Coturnix japonica: one gene and its partner. The protein of the gene in region 1 purifies or fractionates together with the protein of each later gene. This does not show direct contact. Links are inferred from orthologs where the notes say so. Each region holds a gene or a part of one and is shown in the gene's direction. Other genes may lie near its edges.

Region 1 (10,305 bases):
TTGAATGCTCGTTTTAATGCTTTGTGATACCCTACAGAAAAATACAAATCTCTCAAGACTTTTAAAAAAGCAAACAAACCCTCATCTTTGTTTCTTAATACTTTCTAGTGACATGTCTATCCATAATGTAAATGTGAGTGCAGCTGAAACAGGAAGAATCATAGATGAAGCATTGGAGCTACGTAAGAAAAGACAGGCTTTGCTGGTGCAAGAGAAAGAACCAGACCTCAAGCTGATCCAGCCAATTCCCTTTCTCACGTATGTCATATTTAGTTTATAACAGGTTTATCTGAAGCTACTTATGCTGGCAGCTATTTTGTATAAGCTTGGTTTTTGTCAAAACATATTTGTTAAAAAAAAGCACTAAAAAAGGTGACCAGTATTTTCATATTTTGAGTCTGCCGGTTGTTTGGTCTGTTTATGATTTTATTGTAAATGTATCAATTTTCAGTCTTTGATTTAACATTTCAGACTGATGATAAAGAATCTTGAGAATGATTTGGTAGCCATTCCAACTGTATCATCGGATTTTTCATTTTAGATTAGTGTGTGAACTTCAAAATAACTTTAGATTTTTATATGTTTTTACTGTTGATATAATGGAAATTTTAAAACGTAATGCAGATCTTTATTCATAGCAAGATACTTTCAAGTTGTTAAGTACATCTCTATTAAGGCACAAAGGGTTGATTTTTGTAGTGTTGTGTTTCTGTGTGCAGATGGAAATGTTTAGGAGAAGCTTTACTCGCCATGTATCACCACCTCACAACATGTGATCCTCCTCGGCCCAGTCTGGGAAAGAGAATTGATCTCTCAGAATACCGAGAACCTGTTCAGCATTTGGTTCTTTCTCCTACCTCCACTCCTGTCAGTGTTATTCAGCCAACTCCTGTCAGCACTACTGCAGTGGTGACGATGCCAGAACCTATGTTAGCTTATACTCCTGTGACACTCAATTTTCCAAGCCACAGCCAGAATTCATTGGAACCAGGAGCTACTGTAGGTGAGCAAGGTACCTCAGCTTAAGATTAAATATGTTTTTCCAACTGCATAGTTTTCAGCAAGTCTACTTACTGCAGACCAGCTTTTTTATTCAAGATACCACAGCCAGTTTATATTCAGTTGTGTTTTTAAGGTTTTGATATGTTCAAAAAGAAAATGATAAATCTTCAGTATTTCATTAGAGTAAGATAGTTTTAGCCACAAATCATCTTTTTATTTATCTTTATTAATATTTATTATTTTCCTAAAAGGGCTTCCCTCTTGTTTGATAATTTAACAGGTCAGTAACTTTTTTCTTTTTTCTTTTTTTTCAATTCTGTTTTTAGGTGATATATCTGCAGGAGATAAATCCAAGAAAGGGGTGAAGCGAAGAAGAATTACAGAAGATAGCGGTGAAACAGCAAAAAGGAGATCTGCCAGAGTTCGGAACACAAAGTGTAAGAAAGAAGAGAAGGTTGACTTTCAAGAGCTGTTGGTGAAATTCCTTCCTTCCAGGTACAGGACCTTAAACCTGCTAGACCCGATTTGTTTTGGAAGGATTCTTCTCCTTCAATCTTATACATGTTATAAAATTGTTAATGAAAACCTATTGAAAACTAATTCAAAAATGATGAAGCTTCTTGTAAGGCGAGACGATTAGAAGAAAATGCAGGTGTCAAATTGTGCAAGATCAACAAACAGGGCAGTCTTGGTTTCAACAAAATTTGTCAGTACTTTATCTCTGAGTGCGCTTCAGTTACTGTGCTTTCATCGATAAAATATGTACAATGTGCAATGCTTAGGTTTGACTTAACAGTGAAGGAAAGAATGAGGATTTTGTTGGTATAGTGTTTTTGTCCTCCTTTCAACACAGATTAAGGAAAATAGATCCAGAGGAGGAGGAGGACCCTTTCAATAACTATGAGGTGCAGTCAGAAATTAAAGAAGAGAATTTCCAACATGTTGGACCTCATAGAATGTCATTTGATTCTACGACATTCATGGAATCTGGTAAAGAACTCATTAGAACTTCTCTTTTCCTGTTGGTTCTTCTGTCTTGCATGCTTTTCTGTATTCCCTGTCTTATATATGGAAGAAGGATATGAAAGGGTATGTTTTAATATCACATAATTGTACTTTAATCTCAATTAGTAATGTGATTTTGAAGTCTTGGGGACTGGTTAATTACTGTGTGCAAGCACTGTGTTGCATGGAGTTGCCCATTTAAACATATCAGAGCACAGTAACTTAATTCTGCCTCTGCAGCACAAGATGATACTGTGGCCCTTTTGTAAGTGCATAAAACACTGTCAAAACTAACTTATTTCAGGTCACAGCTTATCTTGATCTTAGTTATGCACAGCTTTGCTTTTATTTGCTTTCTAGAAAAGCAAGATGTTCATGAATTCCTGCTGGATAACTTGAACAATGGTGGTATCTTGGAGCTAATGATGAGATATCTGAAGGTTATCAGCCAGAAGTTCCTGGTGAAGTGGCCTCCTGGCTTGTCTGAGGTTGTCCTTACTATCTATACTAGCTGGAGAAAGCACAGTACAAGTCTTCCCAATCCTTTACTGAGGGACTCAAGTAATCAGCATATCAAGGTTATTTATTTATTTATTTATTTTTAATATCAGTATTGTTTCTACTTAGTTGCAGATGAAAAAACAAATTCAGAACTCTGTGCTCCATTGATTTTTAGATTAAAAAAAAAAAAACACACACACAAAAATACAGTGTTGTTGTGTATTGGATGTCCAAATTTTATACATCTAGTGCTATTGTATATTTGTGTATTTTTGTATATACATCCTTTTTTTTAACAAATTCAAATATGTCTTATAACTTCGTGTTAGGTAAAATTTAAAGAGTCAATACTTCATTATGATGCCATTGAAATCACTGTCCTCATGCTTGTCTTTTCCCTTTAATTCCTGAGTTTATTAAACTTGATCTGTAAATTATACTAAATGTGATGAATTCGGAGGTTTTGAGAATCCAGAATGCTACTCTGATACTGTGCACTTTTGGACCTTTAAAAATTGTCATAAGTTCATGGCTTTTACAGATGAATTTGTAACCCTTCTTTCTATGAATATAAAGTATATTCTTCACTACACAAAACTGCCTGACAGATACCCACGGTGCTTTCTAGTGTACTGCTGAACTTTATCATTCATGCATTAATAAACTGGTACGACTAGAATGCATATTCAGTGTCATGGGAACGATGACTATTTTTAATTTTTCTCTCTCTTTTTTCCCAACTTCACACTTTTTCTGCAGGATATGATGTTGATGAGCCTTTCCTGCATGGAACTGCAATTAGATCAGTGGCTGCTGGCAAAAGGGAAGAACTCTACAGGTGAGAGTCAGGTGCTTCTTTCTCTATTCTAAAAATACTGTAGGTAAATTAAGAAACTATTCCAGGAATTCACTGGATTCTTTGGAGCTGTCTCTTCTATATTCTCTGTATACACATCTGAAAGGTGCTTATTACTGGTGTGTCATTTGTCTTCGAGTAGATCAGTAGGTTTTAAATAACTGGTATGTGGGACTCTTCTCATGGGATGCTGGTAACTTTATGATAAAACATAATTGATTTACAGTTTCTCCACGAAATTGCCCTGCTGTCTCTGTGAGCGGAAAGTTTGGTTCTGACTTGCCTGGAATTCATTTCTTGGGAGACCTGCTGCAGTTATCGTTTGCATCCTCACAGCGTGATTTATTTGAGGAGGGCTGGATGGAGTTTGTCACTCGGGTGTATTGGCTGAAAGCTCGCTTTCTAGCGCTTCAGGTTGGTTCTACTCTTGTTATAACAAAACTTTTCTCAGCAATTGAAAGTCATGTTATTCTCAGTTTATTTTAAGTGTGAGGGTTAAATCAGTTTAAGACAGTTAAAAGCATCCTCTTAGTGGAATACAAGGATGTTTCTTGACTCAGTGTTTTGATCAGTATGACTGGAAGAATTATTTCTACTAATTACTTTTTTGTGTTCTTAAAAGAGTTGGAGTTTAATCCAAATTAATCCTTCCAATTCAAGTTGAATTCTATTTCTCTGATTTGTTTTACCTATTACAAAAGTCACTGATAAAATATACTTTATTTGCTTGCTTTGGTTTGCTATTTTGGATTTGTTTTTATGTGTAATAATCACATTGGCAATGCCTACACTGAATCCAAACATTTCGTATGTGCTTTGGAAAGACATTTTGCAGACATAACTCTATTTTTTTTACTATTTTCCCTCCCCCACTGTACTTCTGTAGGGAGACATGGAACAGGCACTTGAAAACTATGACATTTGCACTGAAATGCTGCAGAGTGCCACTACAATGCGGCGTAAAGCTGGTGATGACAGCAACATCATAATACGGTTACCTAATCTGCATGTGGATTCTGTGGTTTCTTTAGAAGAGGTAAGAATTCATTTGCAGGAGTATTCTCCCTGTTCCACCCCTCCCAGTCTCTAAGCCCAATCTATGAATCGGCTCTTTTGTGATGAAAGCTTACCTAGAAATTTTGTCCTAGAAATTTTCCAAGAGTAAAGGAACAGGTTCAGAGTTTAATGATGATGTTATGGCCATCATCTCTTCTTCAAGAAGATGCCTTTCAGATCTCTTGGTTTTGTACAACTTATGATTGTTTTTATGCAGAATAAAAAGGTTTTTCTATTAGAGGCACTGCATGTGCAGTGGTAGATTATTAAACCACTGTTTTATTTTCTGTTCTATGAATATAACTTCCACTGATGGTTAAATGAGTTTCTTTTTTTAGGAGCTGGTGTTTTCCACATAGTAATTTTCATACACATTTGAATAAAAGGCTATTAATTTTCCATTCTTTCTTTAGCTGTTTAGGAGAGTCAACTCCAATGCAGGTTGTGCAATCTTCACTTTAAAGTCTATCTGATGGACGTATTTTTGCTTTTAAGTGTCTTATTCAGGGATCTGAGGCAAAAAAGTGTATTATTACACATTAGTCACATACTATATGATAAAGAAAAGTATGTGGAACAGCTGAAGAGTTACGTAGTAGGTGTTGTCTACCTGATTTGCATTCCTGGACATATTTGTAGAGTTAACACAGCTTTATAGCTGAAGTGTGAGGTGAAGGGGCACTGCCTTTGTGTGTGAAGACAAAATGAAGATTGGATTGTGCCATGTGTGATATTTGCAGATCGATAAAAACTTAAAATCTCTGGAGAGATGCCAGTCTTTGGAAGAGATCCAGCGACTGTATGAGACAGGGGATTATGCTGCAGTAGTGCATCTGCTCCGCCCAACATTATGCTTCAGTGGAAGAGTAAAACATCTGGAGTTTGTAACATCCATACCAGAGAGACCAGCACAGCTGCTTCTCCTGCAGGTTTGTTGGTGATTTTACAGCCATTCTGAACCCAAAGCTTTGAAAAAGCTGTGTAGTGTATGGGTGGTTTCGTGTTGTGGCGTACCTGTCCTGCATGGATGACAAACTGTTGGTAGATAGATCCAGTATAACAGCTGCATCAGTAATCCACATAATACTGAAAATAGGCATACAAATTACCTCAGTTGTGGGAGGGGTTGGAGCTGTCAGGTTTTCTGTCTGGGGGAAAAAGAATCACAAGAAAGACTAATGCTGCTTTAGCTGGACTGAGCCAAATCCAACAGCCTTGTTGCAATCTCATTTACCTACACTTGAATATAAAGAATCAAGAAGGGTGTTGTAATACTGGCCTTGTAGTTGCTATTTTGACATTTATGGAGTAATTAAATGATAGCCTAAGAATATAAGCTGTGTATGGTTAGAATTTAATAAACGTGTAGGCATCATGTTCTTGAAAATGTGTATTTCATGCCTCTTATTCAAGTAGAAATTCATATTCTACGTGTATATTTATCATCCAAGATCTGGACTCATCCTGTTGTCCTTTAATGTGATATGAAGGTGTTTACTTCAACTGAGTGTAACGAACTGTCTTATCTGTATGATGTGTACAGCCTTCCTTTGCTGTATTCATTTTAATTATTTTAAGAGTATACTCTTCATCTTTTTTTTTTTTTTTTCATGTTTACATTCTTTAGGACTCTTTGCTTAAGCTGAAAGATTACAAGCAATGCTTTGAATGCTCAGAAGTTGCCTTGAATGAAGCAACTCAGCAGATGATGAATATAACGGCAGCCTCTGCTAAAGAGGAATGGGTTGCTACGGTAACACAGCTGCTCATAGGAATAGATAGTTCATTATCATCAGACAACAGCATCCTGAAAGAGTCTTCTATAACATCAAGCCTTGTTCGATTAACAACCAACCTGATTCAGGTAACCTGTTCACTGGTACTTGAAAAGAGTCACTATGTTCTGTGGACATTCAGACATGAGTACAGCTGCTGTCCAAACTGCTATCTATTCACACTGATATTTTGGGTTACAGTTTTGCTGGTACAGAGGGAAAGAAGAACATTGTCTTTGTTGTTTTAATTTTCAAGTCAGAGTGTTAGAGAGCCACTGAGTTCACCTGTTCTAGAATCAGTAAGAGTGTGGATACCTTCAAATACAAATCTGCCTGGTGTAATTAAAGAATGGTAGTAAAAGAACCAAAGGAACACAACTTTTCTTATGCTCTGTAATGAGAACAATGTGAAGACTTATTTAGCTGGCTGAGTGCATTTTGTAACTTTGTTAGGTTTAGTCATTCTTACTCACGTAAGTTATTTGTACTGTGTCTGTTAATGATTTCGACTCATCTTTTACATTGGCTGTGCTCTCCAGCTGTTATATTTTCTTCTGTGCATTTATTCACTTTGAAAAGTCTGAATGTGGTATTAGCAGAGAGAACTGATTGGAAAAATGACTATGCAAGAGAAGAACATCTTCTCCCTGTTGATTGTGAGAAGCTGAAACTTAATTGAGGATTACTCCTATAGGGTAGAATATGCTATTAGCTTTGGGTTGTTCATTAAAGATTCACTCCTGACTCTTAATCTGTATCTTTTTGTGTGTGTGATGCCTGTTTCTTTCTTAGATCATAGATTGCAGCATGGCAGTCCAGGAGGAACCCAAAGAACCGTATGTCTCCTCAGTTCTTCCATGGATCATCCTACACAGGATCATCCAGCATGAAGAAGATGCTTTTCAATCCCTTTGCTGCCAGCAGCAGCAGAACCAGGGAGAAGGAGGTAACTTTTTAAAATTCATTTTTACATGCTGGAGCTGAACTTCTCTCCATCTTACTATGTAATATAAATAAAAATTACTTAGTTTGTCATCTCATCTGCTGACTGAAGGGAGTGGATGGATATACAGGCACGACATTCTTATCCCAGAGACTTATTTTTTTGCACCCGATGAAGCATTGGGTAGTTGAAGTTAACTCCGTTCTGTACTACTAAAATAACTGCCAACTTCTTTTTTTTCCAGTGAATCCTGATACTCCTATGCTGCCTTCTTCACTCATGCTTCTGAACACAGCTCATGAATATTTGGGACGAAGGTCCTGGTGCTGCAACTCAGATGGTGCTCTTCTCAAGTTCTATGTAAGTGTTGTAGAGTATCTTAGGCTGGGGGAAAAAAAAAAAACAACTTTGAAATTCATATGGCCAACACCCATCTTAAAACACTTTATTAAATTATTACATTGGTAATGTCTTCATGTTAAAGTACATTTCTGAATCCACTTTTCTTCTGCAGAGTACATCAACCTTTGTCAGTTAGGTCTGAATAGTGAAGGTTTGCTTTTTCTACTCCCCTTTCCTTTGTTATCCTTTCTAAACAGGACTTCTTGTCAGGCAGGAGTTATCTTTGAGTAACCACTTTTGTTCTATACAGACATCTTAAATGAAAGCTAGTAAATGGTCTGCCATGCCTAGAGAACCATTAAGTGATTGTGCTGAGTACATAGTCTTGTAGAGTACATCTCAGTGTGATTTCTTTACAAAAAGACTGTTTAAGAATCACGCCTGCTTGTGTTCAGTAAGCAAAGTGATATTCAAGAGTCTTAATTGTGAGAACTTTGTTAAAGAATAACGAAGAACAGCACACGCAAGAAAAATGGCAGCTTACCTAGGTGTTAGAATAAAAAATTTAATTATCCTTTTGGAAGGCAGTTCTCTAAAATCTGTCAAGTAATAAGAATATACTCCTGAGTGTTGGTATAAAACTGAAAATAAACTTGAGCAGATTACTTCCTGTCATAATTCCCTTTCTTCTTTGGACTTCTCACTGAGAGGAACAATTGCTGTCTTCCACTTTTCCTGCTTTGCTTCTTGCACTACTATTTTATTTTCCTCCTAGGATTTGAAGAAGGAAGAATGACAAGCAATCCAATAACACTGTACATCATTCACAGACTGAAAAAAACTGTGCTGTTACATCTGTAAACGTGTAATCTAATGGGATTCCACATTCATCTTAATGATTGTAAAAAGGTTTTTAACTAGATTTATGGTTGCTCAATTCACAGAACAGAATTTGCCAAGTGTTACTTAAAGGTTGTGTGTTTTCTGTTATAGGTAAATATTATCTAACACTTCAGAGAGTCTTCTAAATGAAAATTCAGTTTTGAATTTTGCAGTTAAACTTATCTCTTCTAAACTCAAGAGTGAAGATAACTAAATTTGTAGGATGTGATCTCTCCCCAGCTAGGCATCTGGAATGTTGTTGATCCCTCACAGCCTGTTTGGTGTTACCTGCATTTGGTCCTGCAGCTGTGATGTTTGTGACTGTTCTGCTGTTGCTTAATTTGGGTATTTTGATTATACCTGCAGACTGAAACAGGTAGCACTTCTATTGTTTTTGTGCTATGAGCTAAATATAACTTCAGCTTATATTTACAGAGCTGATCTATTAAACAAAGATGATAATGAAGAACTACTTAAGTCCTTCTCCCTCTGTTTCAATGCTGTTCTTTGCTCTGTTGTTCAGTTGAGTGTGTTATAAAATCTGGTATGTTCCAGCAGTGCCCAGTGTGTGTCTGGGCAGAAACATTATTAGGTGAAAGGAGTTGCCCACTCTGTTGACCTTTCCAAGATAATTCCTTGAGAAATTCCCCATGGTTGAAGTAGAACATTTCTAACTGTATTGCTATTTCTTTTTTCCCTTGGCTTAGAAATTGAATTGCAGTCAGCTTTTTGCTGCCCAGAGTAGTGACAGCCTGGGTTACCCTGGCTGTTGGCAGAATCCAAATAATACAATACTGTAGTGTTCAGTGGGCAGTGCTCTATAGGGATATTTCAGTGGCACTTTCAAGATTCAACTTGACTTCGTTGAGGCTTATTACCTTCAGCCATGAGAAAATTGTGATTAGTTCTGCATAGAGCCACTTGGGAATCTCTTCATTTCCCTTCTTGGCACTCCCTGGAGCTTATTAACTGCAGCTCAGTGCCAGACTCCATCTGCCTCTGTGTCTGAGCAGCGTGGCCAGGCCAGTAATTTAGACAGCTGGGAAGGGTGGTGTGGGGAGCCTGAGGGGTTCTGCAGAGTTGGCTCTCCCTAGTAGGGCTGGAGCTAATGAACAGTGTTGGAGCAGAGGCTGGTTCAGTGTGGAGCTATTAGCTTATCTCTGCAGCCTTCTCTGCTCAGTCTTCCTGGTATTAGGAACGTAATACTGTTACACCTGAGTTGCCTGTGTATGGATCTGCCTTTGGGTCCATTGGGCTTGTTAGCTCAGGCACTGTGCTTCATGAAAATAGATAACCTATTTCCAGACTTAGATTTGCCTTAAGTGCTGTGCAGCTGCAGTGCTCCAAAGTGCTGAATCTAAATTGAACCGTGTACCTGTATCCACAGCCTGGTCCATCTGATGGCATTCCCTGTGAGCCTGGACAAACTACACCAAAGTACAAGTACATTGAATGAGATCATCATTTTTCAGTCTTAGAGCTGCCCTCTTTTTAAACTAAAATAGGAAATAGCATTAATTAGCATTGATATTCAGCATTCAGAAACAAGAGGGTTTTGGAAAGGTAAAGAGAGGGAAAAACGAAGTGAGCAAATTATTTGAAGAGAGCAGCAGCTTCAAGAATGCTAAATAAAAATGTGTTTCATAGACTGATAGTCATCTTCTGTATATGTTGAAAAACATTTTATTACATGTAAGTGAAGAAGATATACAATAAAATATATTAATACGCAGTTAATTCCTCTGTTACTAAAAATTATTCTGGGGTGCTGCTAAAAGCCAAATAAGAATGCAGGAGGTTGTTTTGAACACTTATCAAGCGAGATTCTTGTTATGGGTATTAGATGTGATTTTGCTTGCAGCAGTAGGAACATCATGCTTTTGTTGCACTGTCCTGTGGGCTTTGCATCTTCCTTTCAACCTGCTTATCTGCGCTTTCTTAGA
Region 2 (10,305 bases), on another chromosome or scaffold:
GAGATTTAGAGTGTCCATTCAGCATCTCTTCAGCATCTCTTGCTTAATGACTCCTGTTACTGAAGATTAGCTCCTGTTAAAGATAATATTTCTCAGTGGAACACAGTGTGCACGTGGTGGTGAGCAAACAGAAGCAGGAACTGAAGAAAGTAGCAGCTGATGAAAAGAGTGGGCTTCTTTGTGGCTGTTGCTATTTGCTATTCATGCTCTTAACAGCAAACACTGAAGCACCTGCTTCTGAAATGTGTTTGACCTAAAGAACAGTCACAGAATCACAGAATCACAGAATTACCCGGGTTGGAAGGGACCTCAAGGAAACAGTGTTGCAGGATCTCCTATACTACTAAGTTAATCATTATGCTGCTCTAAGATAGTATATTAGCAGGCTACCCCAGATTTTCCTGCTGCAGTGTCTCATGTTGATGGACTCTGTACTGTTAAGATAAGAAGTTGAGCACGAAATGCAAGATTTAATGCCTATGGGTCAGTTAGGACTTTGAGGCATGAGCTCTGTTGTGGGTTGGAATGGAGAGCTGCCTCTCTGCCATGAGAACCAGGTTCCTTCTGTCCCAGCAGATGGGAGCGGCTCATGGGTTAAATGGACTCTCCAGGAATTTCATCTTCTGCTTGCACTGATTTCATTTTAACCCTCTCCTTCCTAAAAGACTTCTCATGTTGAGGGTTCCCTTCAGCACTGAACCTTCTCCTTTGGCACTGCCAGTCTTCTGTGACCTGCTGATGGAGATTGCTTCGGGAATGTACATACCTTCTTGGCATAATCTTACTGCTCACCAGCCTGAATCTCAGTAGGTTAAATCAGGAGATGTCAAAATCCTTTACTTCTCCTTTGATCCCCTTTCCCTTGCAAGGAATCACTAACCTGACATGATGGTGCACTGTGGTGAATCCCACTTTTGTCTACATCGGTTCTGCCACACTCAACAGATTGTGAACTCTTTGTGGCACCTTTCTGCTGTCATCCATCTCTTGGAATTATTTTTCTGTTGGACATGTTTTTCATAGGTGTGATTTCTTTTTTTTGGGGGGGACGATGCTTTGTGAGCTGCTGTTGTAACTCAGGAAGCTTCTTGAATAGGATATTTTAATTTCCACGGTGTTGACAGGAAATAACAGATCCCCTGTGGCTACTGTTCTTTCTATTTGTTTCTTGACTCGGTGTCCAGACTGGCCTAGAAAACATGCTGATAAGTATCCTTGCCCCTCATTAAGTGTGACTTGGCTGATCTTTCCTGTTCCAGGACAAGCTCTATGTTTCTATTGCTCAATCTAACACTTCTACCGGGAAGTTAAGGCCGTGTCCTAAATCTGTCCCTTCTTCCCATGAGAATAATGCCAGGGAAGCCAGTTGCCTCTAAGCCATCTCCTTTCCCACTTTAAGCAAAGGAGTCTTGACTATGATGTTACAGCTCCACTGTACACAACAGCAGCACATCCAGAATCCAGAATGGAAAGGTGTGTGAATGTGACATGACCATACCAGCCCAGGTGGTAGAGTTGGACTCAAATTGAGGATACCTAAGAGGTATCCCTTATTTTTGGCAGTTTTTAGTCCACTTACAAGCAGGTATTTGGTGGAGAACTCAGTGAAATAACTCTGCTTTGTTTTGCAGTATTTTTGAAGTGGTTTTTAAAATAAGCTTTTGATTCCTTATGCCCGTCTATATTGGTATTTGAAATGTTGACTTCTATTTTCCAGGCTGCGAGAGCTGCAGAGGGAGAAGGCAAACAGAAATTCTTCACTCAGGACATCAACAATATCATACTGGAGTAAGTGCTGTGTGGGTTGAGGATTGGGGCTAACGTAAGGAAAGGAGAATGCTGGGGAGAGCATTGCTTTTTGGTAAACTGAGGAGCAGGTTTAGCAGGAGGTGTGGGCCTTCCACACAGAACACACCTAGGAAATCATGAATGTCTCCTAGAAACGGCTTTCTGTTGTGATATGTGTACTTGAGGTAAGAGAAAGCTGGAGGAGTTGTATCTAAGCCTCTTGTTTTCAAGCTAATGCTTCATATTCATGTATTTAATTCTTTCAGCTTGACACAAGGACAGTAGATCTCATTCTGTCAGAGAGGTCAGGCATGTTCTTTGCTATTTATGTGCTGTATGGAGTATTTTTAAACTGGAATAATGCTGCTGCATTCAGCTGGCATTCTGTAAAGATGGGAGGAACTCCATTACTGCTCTGTATCTTTGAGCCCACCAATTGTAGAAAGCCACTGCAGTTTCAAGGAGCTGCTGACAATAGCTTCATTCTTCTTCAAGTGTCTGGAGAAGGCTGATGAATGCATGCAGCTTTGTGAACATCTCAGTGTAATACTTCAGCCTTAAGGAAATCAATGCCTCTGTTTATCAAGGCCCTTGAAGGGAGCTGCTGACAGGAAGTTGGGGAGTCTGTTTACCTCTCCTTTCAAGTGGTGATTGCTACCTTTTAGCATCCCAGTGTTAGACCCTGGCACTGCTGCCCAGAGCTGGAGGTGCCTGAGGCCATGGATGGGTCCCTTGGCAGCCTAACCTGGGGGAGGGGAGGGGGAAAGGCAAGTCTGTAACATGAAATGGCTTGGGTTGGAAGAGATTCTGTGATGATTCTATGGATTGGCCTTGAACTTTCACCCTCTGCCTTCAGCTCCCCAGGTTGTTCCAAAGTTGCCTTTCTGTTGCTTAGGGATCCCATGCCAGGTCTCTGCTCAGTGTTTGTGTTTGTCTTGTTTTTCAGCATAGAACTGCAGACCAGGGAGCTGAACAGCCAGATTCGGTCAGGGGTGTACACCCACCTGGCTGCATTCTTACCGTGCAGTAAGGACACTCTAGTCAAGCGTGCCCGTAAGCTTTATCTCTATGAGCAGGTGAGTGATGTTGGCAGCACAGCCTTGTCTCCCATGCATGTTACCCTGATCTCCAGAGCACAGTTGTTGTCTGCATGGTGTGCTGTTGTCCTCCACTCAAACATACTTTAGTCCGCCCCATCTGGTGGTGTGGGTTCAGAATTGGCAAAATCTCATCCTGCTGAATTTGGGTGTCTTATCTGGAGCACAGTGTGGAGCCTCAGTCTGTTCTGTGATGTGCTCTAGGGTGGACGACTGAAGGAGCCTCTGCAGAAGCTGAAGGAAGCCATTGGTAGAGCCATGCCAGAGCAGATGGCGAAGTACCAGGAGGAATGCCAAGCCCATACTCAGGCCAAATTTGTCAAGTAAGCTCATCATTCGCTTGTTATGCATCTGTAACTCTTCTCAACAAGTTCCCTGTAAACTGCTTTCCTGAAGTTTATCACCTACTTTTTTTTCCTGTACTCCAGAATTGCTGACAGCCGTTAATCGCCCTAATTAAGCAGTGTGTGTTCTTTGTACTATCTGTACTGATGCCACCTACAGCAGCATTGATAGGAGCAGAATTTGGCTGAAGTGTTTCACTTCTGCCCGGGCATGTTTTTAGAAACGTGTCAGTCTGAAAGCAGACAGGCTGGATCTCTGTGGTCTCTATTACACAGCAGTGGGAAATACATTAACACTGAGTGCTTAGCTCAGCTTCCACCTTAAGCAAGAGGTTTAGGCCCTGTTTTGAGAGCTTATTATCACTCATCTGTGAGACTTCTGAACAGTACTGTTCGGAGATTTATCCTGGTTTTGGATTAGCCAGGACGATGACTTCCACACTGTCTTCATCTCTATTTTAGAATGCTGGAAGAGGAAAAGGACAGAGAGCAGCGAGATCGAGTTTGCTCTGATGATGATGAGGATGATGAAAAGGGAGGGAAACGCGTCACGGGACCACGAAAGAAATTTCAATGGAATGATGAAATAAGGTTCGCATAATTTAGATATTAAGTGAACCTGTGACTTGCTTCACTTCCAACTGCATAGAATAAGACACCTTAATATTTGTATCTTGGTTTCAGAGCAGGACTAATCACTTGCAGTAACAGTCAGATTGGAAGCTTGCAGAAGCCACTATTGCAGTTAGTAAATCTCAACTTGGAATACACTGTAAAACGAACCCAATTTCAAGTACAAACCAACTCTGAGAGAAGAGCTAAGAAACCTCTATGTAGAGGTCAAAAGAGAGGGGACAGGAAAAGAAGGAACGTGACGGAATGCTGAAATCCCACCAACTAGACTCTTAACAAGATTAGATTTCTGGTTGTGAAAACAGCTTTAAACTCTTGGGAGTTGCTGCCCTTGCACCCAAGGGTCTGACAGAGTGCTGGGTGAAAGGGAGAATGACGCAGGGTAAAATGAGAATCAGTCATGCTGTCTTTTTCATCTTATTCTGACAAATTGGGATGCTGCTCCATAGATGGCCGATACATTTAGAACAAAGAGGGCTTCACTTCCTGCCTTCCCGTTGCTCTCAGCACAAACTCCTGCAGAGGAGTTCAGGTCTGCAGTTGTTCGTGACGCCTGTAATTCTGGCACTGATTTACCCCCTCTGCTGTTTCAGGATATTATGGAGTATAAGGCCTTTCTCCTCTGGCTCATTTGTGTGCATGCGTATGCATACAGAGAAACGTGCCTTTCCCTGCCTCTTTCTTACAGAAGCAGTGCAGGGTTGACTTTTTTGTTAGAAAGGTGTTTGGAATGCCTCGACTTGAATCCTGCACTTGGCTGGCTACTGTCTGATCCAGAGTACTTATGCACAGCCAGGCATGTCTTGGCATATTCATCCAGCCTGGATAAGTGGAACGGCCTCCATCTGGGGAAAATAAATCCAAGTAACTGTATTTGAAATCTTCCTGTTCTTCAGGGAGCTGCTTTGCCACTTGGTGAAGATTAAATTGGATGGTTATGAGTATGACAAGAATAAGGCTCAGTCTCTGGAGGATTATGTGAAGACCTTCCTAGATGGAGAGGTGAAGCCCCTATGGCCAAAAGGCTGGATGCAGGCCAGGTGAGCAAGAATAATGTTGTACTCTAGGGATTCTTTATCATAAGGGACTTCTGAAGGTCGTTAGTCCTATCCCTGTTCAAAAAACAGTTAGTTTCAAACTTAGGTCAGGTCGGTCAGGGCTGTGTCCTTCTGAGTTTTGAAAGTCTCTGTGGATGGAGATTGTGACAGCATCTCTGGGCCACTGTTCTGATATGTGTCGCTTTTCACAAGTCTTTTCTCTTTATTTTCAATCTGAATTGCCCTTGCTGCACTGAAATGGCAAAATGAAATAGGTACCTCTGTCTTCTTTGTGGCTCCCTGTACCCAGAACTCTTGGACTAGTGGAAGACTGCTGTTAGATCCCTCTTTAGTCTTAAGGTTTTCCAGGCTGAGCAAACTCATATTCTCCATGTCACGTGTTCCTGTCCTCAGCCATCTCATGGGCTCTGGACTGCCTCCAGTTTGTCAGCATCTCTCTTGTATTGTGTGGGCCCTGAAACTGGACACTGTACAGATGCAACTTCACAAGTACTAAACAGAGGAGAGTAAGCACTCATGCTGTTAGCTGGGCACCAGAATTTAGTTATCTTCCAGCCGTGTGCCCTTTAAGCAGTGAGTTCAGATTGTACTCAAGGACAACCTCAAGTTGGCCCTGAGCCTGTGTGTCTGCATGGGGTTATTCCATGCCAGCTGCAGGACTTGTGTTTGTCTTTGTTGAACTTCTCAAGGTTCCTGTCAAGGTCCCTGTGAGTGGCAACCCTGCCCACCCTGTTTCCATGTCTTACTTACAACTTACACAAACTTACTGAGAGTCCAGCGTGTGTCTGTCATCCAGGTTGCTAGTGACAGTATTGAGTGGTCTTGGCCTTGGCATTGACCTCTGATGGGTGCTGCTGGGTGTGACAAGTTATGAATCAGGATTGGCACTGAGCTGAGGCCTGTGGTTTCCTGAACCCGTATCACCAAAGACCTTATCAGACACTTGGGGAAATCTTTCCTAGAGCTTAGAGTGTTCCCAAGAGAAAGCAAAGTGAAAGACTTTAGCAACTGTGGGACTTGCACAGAGGCAGCAGAATAAGTAGGAATTGGGAAGGGGTAAAGAAAATCACATTCGTGTCTTGATTGCTGTTTCCTGCTTTTAAATGCCGTCTATCATCCTTGTCACTGAGCTGATGATTGCAGAGAGCCACACCAGTTGCAGAGCATCATTCTATTGAGAGCGTCATCAGTTCCTGGCCTGCCTTGTTTTGCTCACTAGGTTTAAAACAATGACAAGTGTGCAGTCCTACTGCTGGAACTTCAGTCTCTTTGCGCTTACAGACCTGGATAGCACTATGATCTTTTCTCTGATGAACTTTTTTATGATTTAATGGGTACCAGCTCTTAAGAGCAGTAAGTGTGAGAAGCAAATTACAAATCCATCTGGAAAACTACCATGGCAGTTTACTGCAGTTGCACTTGTCCATGAGGTGCAGTACTGCGCATGGTTGTAGTGTGCTGTAGTGTGGGAGCTAAAGGATGGCATTAGAAAAAGTGGGTGCGGACTCCTCCTTAATAAAGACATTACCAGTTTGGGGGTGGTCTCAGCTCACCAACTTTGAAACCTCTTGGAATAGAAGGAAATGGAAATCTTTTCCCTGAATTTGTAGGTAAAACTGTTATTAAGCATACAGATGTTCTTCCAAGACTCACTGTAGGAGAATCTTCCAATGAAGCTGAGTGCAGGAATGACTGAAGAAAAGCGGTTTCCCTAATTGCTTCTCAGTGGCTAAAGGACAATGTTTTTTCTTTTGGGACTTTTAAGGACAGAGTGTTGCCTACCAGCCAGGCAGACGTGGAGGGGGGGGGGAGGGGTTGCGATACTAGGAGAGCTGTAAACACTTTTGTGGACAAATCAGCTTGATTTGCTGTCACTGTGAGCTCACGAGTTCGTCTTTAAAAGGAACCTCAAGGGGAATGGAGTGTCAGCTTTGTGTTTGAGTTCAGAGAGGCTCTGCCATGATTCTGTTTTCTTGGTTAGCACTAAAAGGCAATTAATGTAAGACTAAAAGGTTAAAGTATGTGAGCTTTTTAAAAGAAAATGGATGACAAAAGTTCCTTGCCTTAAAAACTGAGTATGATAATAGCAGAAGGAAAGCGTGTGTTCCATATGCCAGCATTGATGGTATGTTTATAAGCTCACCTTGATCTAAGAAACCAGCTGAGTGGCAGCTGTTGTAGGTGAAACATTGCTTGCATAAGATTCTGGTTTACTTATCCTTAACACTAATGGCTTTTGGATGAAGTTCTGTTTATTAGTTGTGTCTAGACAATTGAAGAAATGGTTTTGCTGATTTGCAAAGGCACTTCTGTCTTTTGGGATGCAAAGGCAGCAGCAATGCAGTGTGTGAAGGCTTCTCATCCATATTGCTATATATAAAGAAGGGAAAGGAAACCTCTCTTCCTTAAACATGGTGGAGAGCTCCTGGATGATCTGCCAGCTCTTGATGATCTCTGGTAGCAGCAACACTCAGCCTGAATGGCCGTGCTGTCTCTCCAATTGACTGTCAGCTCATTCCTTAGCTACTGTCCAACCACACTGCCTTAATGGCCCTTCCAGCGCCTACAAGCTTAGCTCCCCAGTGAGGGAATGGAGTGAGGGAGTTCAAGAGGATTTTCCTTGAAAATGGATGAATATTTGTTTGCTCCATGGTTTTAATTTCACTAAGTCCCCTGCTGTTCTGTGCAGCTCTGTCTCCAGTGATCCCAGCTGCTCTACTGGGTCTTGCTGGATATCACTTCTCATTGCTCTCTTCCCTTCTTAGGACACTGTTTAAGGAGAGCAGGCGTGTACACGGACACCTCACATCAGTCCTGTGAGTATCGTGCAGCATTCCTTTAGAGTGATAACTGGTGATCTGCGTTCCCTGGGGCCTGGGTGGATCGTGCAGGAACACCTGAGCTTGTTTGGCTCCTGTCAGACAGTTTGGCGCTGCTTCATTTGGGAAGGTCTAAGGAGAGAAGTGGTGTGTGACATCTCCCAGCAAAAGCCTTTCTGAGGTGCCTGGGCCTTACAGCAGGCTCAGAGAATGACCTTTGATGCCAGGTTGCCTCCTGGCCTTGTTCAGCAGGCTGGAGTCAGGCTTCTGTGCTAGGCCCTGGGAGACAGTTGAGTAAAATGGACTGTGGTGCCAGCACTGTGTTTATTGCCACCTATTCAGTTAATCCTTACTGGATTCTGGATTCCCTCTTCCTTGCTGCCAGATTAAAGCAGAGGTACGATGAGCTCAAGGCAATGAGAATGGGAGAAACAGACCTGTGGGTGACAAACCAAGGGATCCATCGGAATCCAGCTGGGCAGGTGCCTTAAGGCCTAAGGGCCTCATGGATCTTGCTGGCAGCATGTAACAGACAACGATATAGATTTAGGCTGGTATCTGTTTGACAGCTGGTCCTGTTCTTGGCATTGGATGAATGAGGGGAAGCAGAGAAAGGGTATGAAATAGAATGTAGAGTCATCCTTCCCTCAGCCATACCTCTCCAGCAGCTCAGGGATGTCTTGTACCGGTGATTGCATCTGACCAGACCAAATGATCTATTTTCCATGAATTTGGCAGATGCTTTTGCATCTTTGACTTCTTCTGGGAATCTAAAAGAAGTGTGTAGTTTTTTTTCCCCTCTAAAATAGCCTGTGTATCCATTTCTCTCTGGGTGTTGCTATATTTAGGTCAGCAGTGGGCTTCTGTAGCTCGTAGCCCTGCAGCTGATGCAGGATGTGTCTGTTGAGTGCTTTCACTGCTCTGCAACCATTTCAGATACTCTGCTCTGCTCCCTAAATCGTTCCCCTGTGTGGGAGCTGGGACTTCCTAGGGCAGCAACAAATGTCATACGATTTTGAATCCTAGCAACCTGAGATGCTGCCTCTGTTCTTTGCAAAAGACTCAGTGGATCATCATTAACAGGGCCCCTGACTGGATGCTTCCCTACAGGCACTCAGTGAACCCATGTTTTCTTTGTCTCCCTTGAAACAGGGCGAAGAAGAAGGTTGTCGCTCCTACTAAAGTGAAGGGGAAGGTGAGTTCTGTGTTTTTTGGTACACACATTTGATATATCCCAGTAGTTGAGAGACTGCCATCCTAGGTCCTATACTTGAGCTTTGTATCTATGCATAGATGTAAGGAAGTTGTATTCTTAAACAGCAGCAGTCTGCACTGTGCTTGAGGAAAGAATTAGGACAGCAGCTAGAACTGATGGCAGCAGGAGTACCAGCCTGGAAGGAGGGTACCTGTCATCGGACAGGTATCACACCTTTCATCCCAAAATCAGGGACCTTTCCTTCCCTTCTCAGCATTACATTCTGCCTCTGTTTTGACTTTGCTTTCTGTTGTTATTTTGTTCCAGGAACTCTCCTCTAAACCTGATAAAAAGGTGGCTGTTTCTGTTCCATCAGTACATTCAAGCAACACCGTAGCTCTGTCATCAGAATCCCAGGCAGGAAGTCTTAACATCAGTGCCCAGACCAGAGAACTCCTGTCCCTTGGGACAGCACAAGCAGCCAACAGCACTACTACTCCTGCTGCCTTCATGGACAACTCTTTGGATGAAGATTTAATTCATAATCCTACTTCCTCCCTTGAAGCAGTCTCCAAGGAACTGGCTGTGTTGAACAGCAGAGCAGGAGGGAGCCCTGACTTTCCTCTTCCTGGAGCTCCAAAAGCTCCACCTGAGAAGATTCCAACTATTGCATCCTCAGAAGAGAAGAGAACATTTCCAAAGGCCCACCCTGCTCCCACAACATCCTCTGCTGGTTCCCTCCAGTCTCCTCTAAATTTCCTGGCTGAACAGGCCCTCGCATTGGGCCAAACTTCCCAAGACAAAAAGACAGAGAACTCTAATTATAAAGAGCTCTCCTGCCAAGCCTCCCCCAGCAAAATCCTTCCTGATATACACCAGGCTAAACAGAAGCACCACAGCCTGGTCCGACCAAGCCATGGGCCTCAGACCTCCACCTCGGTGCCAGGTACTCAGGTGAAGGTTTTCCACTCAAGCAACCAGCCACAGAAAACTTTCACCTCTCCGGCTCCATTTGTCAAACTGCAGAACCCCAAGTCCTCCTCCCCATTGCCCCAACGCTCCCTCCTCCAGCAGGTCAAGTCATCAACCAAAGCTCAGAGCTTCCATTCCTCTGCTGCCTCAGGCAGCACCCAAAACTCCAGCAGTTCTCACAAAAGCCCAGGCTCATCATCGTCATCTCTAAACTATACAGGAAAGCACTCAAGTGGCTCTAGCACTTCAGGACAATCCTATAAATCACCCTTTGTTTCTGGATCCCTCTCCAAGCATGGGGCTTCTTCCAGCAGCTCCTCATCGGGAGCGTCTGCAAACCAGGGCTGCTCCTCTGGGAACTTGCTGCCCAGCATGCAGACCCCTTCCTCCAGCCAGGCA

Evidence for each region.
Region 2: the proteins of CABIN1 (region 1) and UBN1 purify together in Homo sapiens (affinity purification with western blotting; 6 studies listed by BioGRID, with this or other methods). This does not show direct contact. The link is inferred for Coturnix japonica from reciprocal best matches to the Homo sapiens genes CABIN1 and UBN1.

The regions. Positions count from the first base shown.
Region 1 is NC_029530.1:7,170,531-7,180,835, forward strand, and holds part of CABIN1 (calcineurin-binding protein cabin-1), read left to right. Parts: intron 1-108; coding exon 109-258; intron 259-719; coding exon 720-1,012; intron 1,013-1,328; coding exon 1,329-1,497; intron 1,498-1,855; coding exon 1,856-1,992; intron 1,993-2,367; coding exon 2,368-2,585; intron 2,586-3,267; coding exon 3,268-3,346; intron 3,347-3,590; coding exon 3,591-3,778; intron 3,779-4,250; coding exon 4,251-4,400; intron 4,401-5,160; coding exon 5,161-5,349; intron 5,350-6,047; coding exon 6,048-6,284; intron 6,285-6,987; coding exon 6,988-7,141; intron 7,142-7,382; coding exon 7,383-7,498; intron 7,499-10,305. UniProt on the Homo sapiens protein: May be required for replication-independent chromatin assembly. May serve as a negative regulator of T-cell receptor (TCR) signaling via inhibition of calcineurin. Inhibition of activated calcineurin is dependent on both PKC and calcium signals.
Region 2 is NC_029529.1:11,634,908-11,645,212, forward strand, and holds part of UBN1 (ubinuclein-1), read left to right. Parts: intron 1-1,717; coding exon 1,718-1,788; intron 1,789-2,734; coding exon 2,735-2,864; intron 2,865-3,089; coding exon 3,090-3,208; intron 3,209-3,691; coding exon 3,692-3,820; intron 3,821-4,758; coding exon 4,759-4,902; intron 4,903-7,685; coding exon 7,686-7,736; intron 7,737-8,891; coding exon 8,892-8,934; intron 8,935-9,261; coding exon 9,262-10,305. UniProt on the Homo sapiens protein: Acts as a novel regulator of senescence. Involved in the formation of senescence-associated heterochromatin foci (SAHF), which represses expression of proliferation-promoting genes. Binds to proliferation-promoting genes.